2 linked regions of the Nothobranchius furzeri genome follow. The protein of the gene in region 2 interacts with the protein of the main gene of each other region in a pairwise test. Links are inferred from orthologs where the notes say so. Each region holds a gene or a part of one and is shown on either strand. Other genes may lie near its edges. The genes, in order: proteasome assembly chaperone 2 and psmg1.

The links.
Region 1: the proteins of psmg1 (region 2) and proteasome assembly chaperone 2 interact in binary tests that used the Homo sapiens proteins (3 or more experiments, as listed by UniProt). The link is inferred for Nothobranchius furzeri from reciprocal best matches to the Homo sapiens genes PSMG1 and PSMG2.

Annotation. Positions count from the first base shown.
Region 1 is NC_091742.1:8,407,309-8,411,642, forward strand, and holds proteasome assembly chaperone 2, read right to left. Parts: upstream 3,011-4,334; 5' UTR 2,882-3,010; coding exon 2,825-2,881; intron 2,130-2,824; coding exon 1,958-2,129; intron 1,865-1,957; coding exon 1,806-1,864; intron 1,722-1,805; coding exon 1,603-1,721; intron 1,516-1,602; coding exon 1,336-1,515; intron 1,080-1,335; coding exon 956-1,079; intron 871-955; coding exon 793-870; 3' UTR 508-792; downstream 1-507. UniProt on the Homo sapiens protein: Chaperone protein which promotes assembly of the 20S proteasome as part of a heterodimer with PSMG1.
Region 2 is NC_091750.1:52,547,671-52,551,489, forward strand, and holds part of psmg1 (proteasome assembly chaperone 1), read right to left. Parts: intron 3,729-3,819; coding exon 3,583-3,728; intron 1,157-3,582; coding exon 1,094-1,156; intron 472-1,093; coding exon 273-471; intron 1-272. UniProt on the Homo sapiens protein: Chaperone protein which promotes assembly of the 20S proteasome as part of a heterodimer with PSMG2.

The sequences.
Region 1 (4,334 bases), on a different chromosome or scaffold from region 2:
TTAAAAAAAAAATTGGCATATCACGGTAAGTATCTGCACACAGTCAATTCTCTTCAATCACAAGGAGGCATAAAAGTAGTGAAGTTCTTTTTTTCTAAATGACACAGTTTAAGTTCCCCACTACTACTCTGGTGTCGAGGAGGTAGAGACACCCATAATTCAGTTTTTACCGACAATGGCATAAAAAGAGCTGCTGCAGCCACCCCCTCATACTTAAAAACATGACTTCCAGGAAAGCTACACTTGTTACGATTCCCCCAGCAGATTAGCTAATGTCTCGCACTTTCAAGAACACGGTGCCCTCACTGCTCGGCTGGCATTTCATCTCTGGCCATGTGCTTTTTTATTACAGGATGGAAAACTGGTTTTCTTTGATTTAACCCCTTTATTTCATTTCATCTGTCTTTAACTGAAAGTAGACAAAAGGAAAATGGTTTACCAGCTCCAGCCTTTTGCAAACGTAGGTTCAATTTTAAAATTACCCACATATACTAATCAGTACTTAAATTATGTGTGTGTGTGTGTGTGTGTGTGTGTGTGTGTGTGTGTGTGTGTGTGTGTGTGTGTGTGTGTGTAAGCCTATTCCCACCACTCTCAATTAAAGAAAAAATAATTCTAGACAGCCAAGTCATAGAGCAAAGTGCAGTATAAGAGTCTATTCCTGTCATGTTGGCACATCCAAATAAGCAGAAGAAAGAGAATTATTCAGGAACGTGGAACATCTTACAAGTAGAACAAAATATTTTTGCAAATCTGAGTCAATATATTTAGGATCAAAGAAAGAAAAGCAAATCAGAACAGAGCAGGAGGAATGCCTGATCCAAACAGGAGACTCCAGGAAGTCGGGATCTTCCACTTGCACTCGCAGCCCTGGAAGGAGGATCAGATGATTGTTGGGAATTTCAAATCTGATTGAGTCTACATAAAAAGGCTCTTTGTGAAATCTGTAGATTACCAGAGTGTCCAGCAGATGGAGCCAGTCGTTGAGGTGGTTGACCAAAGCAAAGGCGTCTGGGATGTTGTCACCTTCTGAACAGAAGAGCAGCAGCACAGCGAGTGGGAGGTCCTCAGCTAAACAGCTGAACACACGACCGGACATGTGATCAGGAGGAGAGAAAAGAAAGGAAAATGCTACATTTTGTAATTCTGAGTAAGAATTGTGCAAATGTGAAAAGAAAACACAAAACCATGAAAAAGCTTTGGTTTGGTGTGTCCTAAGTGCCTAAATTCTCCCAACATCACAAAAAATGTCAAACCCCGCTGTCTTCCTCATCTTTAGAGGAGCAAATTTTTTAAACGTCTCCTCAGGTTTTCTTTAGTTATTTCCCTATCTACCTGTCGGAGTAAAGCCCTTTGGTGATGCCTCCTCCTGGGATGCACAGTCTTGGCTCTGCATCAGCGTCCTTCACTCCAGGAAATGCCGGCACTCGCTCCATCTCTCTCCAGCCAAGCTCCTTCAGTGTGTCCACGCTCACCTTCAGTAGGGACGGGGTTGCCAGATACCTCAAGGGAGTCCTAAACAGGCACATTTTACTCATCGGCACTTAGAAACGACTTTAAAGAGCAGAAGTGGACAAAAAGATGGATGGTGTTGATGTTTACCCATGCAGCTGCTGGTCATCTCTCTGGTAGGCGTGGCTGCTGGAGAGGACCACAGTCCTTGAGAAGCCACTGGATTTGATCCAGGAAACGAGCATCTGACGGAACTTCTTAGACTTTTTCTGCAGTGAAAACAAAGTTTATAGGATATGAATTCAGTCAATGTTATAAAAACTTGTTGGAAAAAAAAAAAAAAGAAAATGTACCTGAATAATCGGCACTCTGATTTGAAGAACTGCCAACTTCCGTTCTGCTGCTGTGAAAACTAAACAAAAAATGTTAATTTTTAAACTGGAAGAAATGAAGTGATCACTCTACAGAGTTCTAGATCCATTAAAGGTCAGTAATGAGACGCTACCCTCTGCGGGACAGTGCAACCCCTCAGCGTCCTCTTTGCAGGTGCTGTATGGGTTGTTCCCGGCCATCGGAATCAGACAGTCTGTGTGTAAGTAACCCACTCTACTCAAGTTGAGAGTGGAAATGATGAGGTCGACAGCCAGCTGACCCACGTTCCCCACAGCTACTGCAGGCTAGGGAGAGAAAAAAAAATTCAATCAGCATTTCTACCTCCAGCTTCTCAAAAGTCAAGATAAGCTGCTTTTCTTCTCTGAGAACGGAAATGGTAGCCAGGTACCACACTGAAAGTACACATTTAGACTTGTACTTTTGCCTCATCTCAATGTTTTTGTAGTTTTCATTTAAGTCTTATCAAAACGTTATAAAATAATGTCACAGGCGTATTTGGCCAACAGTTTTACCAAATACAGCTCTTGATATCTACATTCGTTTTGATCTGTCTGGACAAAATAACTACAAATGAATCCTTTAACACTAATAATAAATACTCAAATGCATGCTCTAGTACTTAAAGTGACGACGTGGCTTTTAACAAACCAAAGGAAAGAATTAATATTTTGTATACTTTAGATGTATTTCCTATAGTTACTATTTAATTCCCGTTTTTAAAATCAGGCTTTTTTATTTTATTTTAAGCAATCAGCTACAAGAAAATTACTGAGAAGAAGCTGTAAAGAAGCAAAGTTCAATAAATCAGATGCAACTCCTACCTAAAAAAAAACATTAGCAAACAATTTTATTAGCATTATTTTACAAATACTCCCATTAATTCCATTTGTGACACCAAATAACTATATGAGTTACTGATTAGCAGTAAAAACGTGACAAACTAAGGAAATGACAGGATTGACTGCCCAGGCATACTCACCATGACGAGGGTGAAACCTTTGAAGGCGACCGGTGAGTTTTGTGAAGAGATAAACATTCTGCTATTAAGTAGGAAATCAATTTAAATAAGAAAAATACGCAACGAAAAACAGCTAAATTGAATAAAATCCGAATTTGTGGACAGCTTTCTCAGAAAGTTTCATGCTTCCTTGTTTAGACTGAGGACCTTAACAGTTTTTAGGATGCTTAATGGTGCCTGACGAAAATAAAAACAGCAAGGCTTAAGTAAAAATATAAACATGTTAAATTTGATTGTACGTTCTTACTCCTATTACTCTATATTTAATGTGATGTAATGGACATTAAGGCATATTTATACTTTTTATATGTGCTTTGCATTTTAATCAGGCAAATCAGCGGGCAGAACAAAAGCTCTGCCATAGAAGGAATGAAAAAAATCAATCTTGTTTAAAATTCATTCATTTTTATTTTAGTAATATACCTTACTAAATGTCGCATTTATTTTAAATGCATAATAAAATGTGCGCGTGTGTGTTGACAACGGGGGTCCACTTGACGCAGCAACTACGTGCAGGGCTTTGGAGCCACATTGAAAAAGCCCTCTTCAGCTCAAAACACATTTATTTTTAGTCGGTTTAAATCGAGACGTAGCCAAGAAAAGTACTACCAGAACACTAGAAGTAAATTTTTTACGGTTTTGCATTTTTTCTATATAGTTTTATTGCATTTATATAATTTACTAGATGAATTGCATTTCTTGCAGAAATGCTGTTTGCTGGAGCGTCCCCCAGAAAAGTTTAGCATCACACTTTATAACCTTATCTTTACCAAGACAACAGAGGCTGGGCTACAAGACCATATAAACCGTTTTAAGATGCTCCAAACACAAGTGAAACTACAATTAAATGAATCGTGATAAATCTTCAAGAAACTATTTTGCTGTTATCTTTTCTAGTTAAAAAGCAGGCAGGCAGTAACTTTATCCATGTAAACTTTAGTACATCAGGAGGGACAAACACGTTCAGCATTTATCTTGTAATGCTCAGCTGAACTTCCCCTGAACTCTACACTATACCTCTCTCTCTCTTATATATATTTATATTTATATATTTATGTATATATATATACCGGTCAAAAGTTTTAGAACACCCCAATTTTTCCAGTTTTTTATTGGAAATAATGCAGTTATGTTACATTGCACTCTCAAATGAAAGCATAGTACAAATAAGCAATTGGAGTTTAAAAAAAAAAGAAATCTTGGAATCAATTTATAGACGAAAATGTGTTCTAAACTTTTGACTCATCAAAGTAGCCACCTTTGGCAGAGCTGAACACACTCGTGGCATTCTTTCTACAATAGAAATCAAATATTCTTCAGAAAGCTCTTCCCATATCTGTTGCAGAAGGCCCCATAAATGTGTGGCACTTGTAGGTTGCTTTGCTTTCACTCTTCTGTCCAGTTCATCCCAAACCAGCTCGATGGGGTTTAAGTCTGGAGACTGTGCTGCCCCCTCCAATTTTACAAGCTT
Region 2 (3,819 bases):
ACTAAAATTTTAAATGTCAGAAGTAAAGGTAGCTAGAACCACCCTGAGTGCCATGAAACAACAAGTGATTTATGATTTATCATCTCCAGCCTCACACAGAAACATCTCTCTAATAAAACTCTAAAAGGACAATCAACCTGGGACGAAGTAGTAGTAGCAGTAGGTCTAGAATTAAATCCTCAGCTAAATGTGCTAATTTGTGAGACTGATGAGTGAAAGTGAGCCTTAGCAATGCTTCTGACATGCTCATGTTAAAGAAAATCCGAGCACACCTGCAGCTGGAAGTCCTGTAACTATGTTTGGCTGCTCCAGTGGCTGGCAGACAGGCTGATCACTGAAAGCACTGGTGTGGAGAGCTCGCAGGAAGGGAGCAGAGCTGCTGCACAGATAGTCTGCCGTCTTGTAATCAGCCACCGAGCCATCTGACAGCACGGTCACAGTCAGCTCCCTGGGCTGCAGGCAGTCAAACACCTGCAAGAGACGATGACAGCGAGACCAACAAAGCGTTGTGTTACACATCATCTTCCATCATTAATGGAGGCAATATGTGCTGAAATAATATCCCCTAAAAACAGCATTCTTGGCCAAAGTCAGCACAGATCGTGTTGTTGATGCCAGATTTTACTTGTGTATCTGTGTTTTGGTGGCTAATTCTGACATGTGTGAGAGCTGCCAACATTTTCCCAATTTGCAGTTGTCAAGTTCTGAGAACTTGCGCCCATTATAAGCCAAGGTCAAACAAAAAAAAGAAATTAGACTCTATGCTGAAAGAAGTGAAATCTGTCAGTCCTCTGCTGCTGCAGCAGCAAATCAATTTAAAGGTTGATTGTATTCAGAGTATTTTCTAATTCTCAAGCCAGCTCATCTGGCACCAATCAGCAAGATCTCCACCCTCCTGTTTGCTCTAAAACAACAAAACCTCAACAAAAAAACCTCGGGCCATGTTGTTTGCTGTTTAAATGAAGGATGACCTAGTTGGTGTGGTATCAACACTCTTATTTAACGACATATGTGCAGTTCTTGCGGTGTCCCATTGTGAGGTTTCACAACAGATTAAAAAAATCCGCAGCCTCATCAGGCTGATTGACAGTACCTTTTCAGTCCACTGAAACTGTTGATCTTCTGCGACGTAGCAAGTCACATGGCATATCAAAACCTTTAAGGGGAAAACAAATATTTCACATCAAAACTCACAGATAAAATCAAACACAGGCATCTATCTGCAGGTCGGTTAATGCCGAGGGTGTTTTCAGCACGCACGCGGTGCAGGAGAGTTAGAAAGATGGATTCAGGTTTTTAGTAAAAGTCTGTCGCTGGGTGAATTCATTTAGGTTATTCAGGTTTAACGGGTCTACCAAACAAAAAGAAAGTAGACACATGAAGCACCAGTCCCTAGGGAATGATTAAATAATTAATAAATGATCTGTTTGAGGATTTGATAAGTTCAGATCAGGGGCCTCATCTATCAAGCTTGCTTACGCACAAAACGGGGTCGGAAAACTGCGTAAGCAACTTCCACGCAAACTTTGGGATTTATAAAAGAAAACTTAGCGGAAAAATGTGTGCAACTTTAAGTTGACTAAGGACCTGGCTTACGCACATGTTGGACATGGAGAGCACCTGCAGTGCTGCTGCTGAGAAGGATAAAATTATGAAATCCTGCAGCATTATACCTTGTACTGCTTTGTTTTCACACAGAACAAGACCCCCACACGCGCACATGCACACATGCACACACACACACACACACACACACAGCCTGAAGCACAGAGTACGGAATGCAGAATATCAGCAGGGGGACAGATTGAGACAGAATGTCATGCGTCTGTGACAGTGTGTGTGTCCTGTCACTGTGACCCGATTGATCATGCACCCTGGCTGCTTGGACAAGGGAGATCTCCGTTTGGGTGACTGGCTAGTGCGTGTGACTTTCACCAGGGAGTCTGGGGATTGAATCCTGATTGGACCATTTTTTTTATATCCGCCACAGATCTCTCTGAAGAATTCACAACATTGACGGCTTCAGCAATGCTGTGCCACTCCGTGGATTTTCGCTTATTTGTTTTGCAAAAGCACTTCCTTTCATTTCTTCACCTCACCCACAGGTACCGAAATTTCTGCTTCTGTGAAATTGTGCTTCCTTGATCTGCCTTGATCTACGGTCGCCATGTCATTGGCGAAGCACTGCAACAGCCGGCTTATGTATATGCATGAGATCCACAAGGCACTTTGCATTGACTATTTATGGCAGTAAGTGGGCGGGGTGAGGGTGGGATGTGACTAAAAAGCAGCTGAGAACCTTTCTAGATAGTTTCTGATTTATGAAGCGGAGATTGCGTGAAGCTGTGCGTACTCCACGTTTGATAGATCACAAACCTACTTGGCGTAAGTACTTTTTTTTTTGCTGAGCTTAAGAACGGTTTTAGTAAGGATTCTACACGATGTTTGATAAATGAGACCCCAGATCTGCATCAGATAACTTTTTTATTTGAAAACCAACTACTGGTAATAATTTAACAGTTTCACTTATTTTAATATATCCATCCATCCATTTTTGTAACCCGCTTTTCCATGTAGGGTTGTGGGGGGCTGGTGCCTATCTCCAGCTGTCTTTGGGCAAACAGGCGGGGTACACACCCTAGACAGATTGCCAGTCCCTCGCAGGGCAACACAAGGACACACAACCATGCACACACACACACTTAAGGACAATTTAGAGAGACCAATCAACCTATCGGTCATGTTTTTGGACTGTGGGAAGTGCACTGGAGAGAGCCCATGTGTGCACAGGAAGTAAATGCAAACTCCATGCAGAGAGACCCCAGGCTGGGATACGAACCCAGGACTTCCCTGCTGCAAGGAAACAGCGCTAGCCACTGCGCCACTGTGCAACCCTTATATTAATATAATAAAACACAAATCAAATCCTTTTCTTCCCATTACCAGGGTGAACTGACCTCTCCTTACAGCCCAAAAACCACATAAACTGACCTCAATCCTGTGAAAACTGAACCAAAATATGCCACCTTTATAGTGGGAATAAAAGGACTTTCAGTAAACCGGTGATTCATAAATATTTTGTGAACAATCACGCTTATCTGCTTCTGTCGTCCCTCCGTTTGTTAAAATCCCTGCAGCCCTCTGAAAGAAGCAGGACAGGTGTGATAAATCTGAAGCTTCCGCTGCAGCACACAGTCATTATCTGCATTCATCTTGATTAAATCAAACGTGAAGGACGTAAGGCAAATACAACAAAGGCACGCACACGCGCGCGCGCACACACACACACACATACACAACTGGCTGCTTGAAACTCTAAATTCTGACACTTAATCCAACATGATTTTCTTCTCTTGTAATGGCCTTTGATGAAGTAAAAAGGATCATTTTTGTCACAAGTATTCATCAACACGTAGCCTGCAGCTGGACAATAATGACATTAATAGAAACATCTCTAACAGCACAGGAGACCAATTAAAGGGAGGATGAGGAGCAGAAGTTCTCAACAGTCATGTGCTTTCTGAGGTGTTATTCAGCAGCAGATATATTCTGAAGTGTTGATTTTCTCAGTGTGTCACTCACTGCTGGGGTGTCCTTGTGTCGGTAGAAAACACATGCCGACTCCTCGCTGGTCTGCCCGGTTGCAGCACGGCTCCTCTCGTTCCACACCAGCGCTCGTCCAACTGCGTCCCACTTTGCAGAGGCGAGAACGTACGCTGACAGAAAGCCTGCAAGGACAGATCCTCTCAGTATTCAACAAACAGCTCGCATGAGAAAAGAGTGGGGCATTTTTCAAGCGACAAACTGTGTTGGAACATT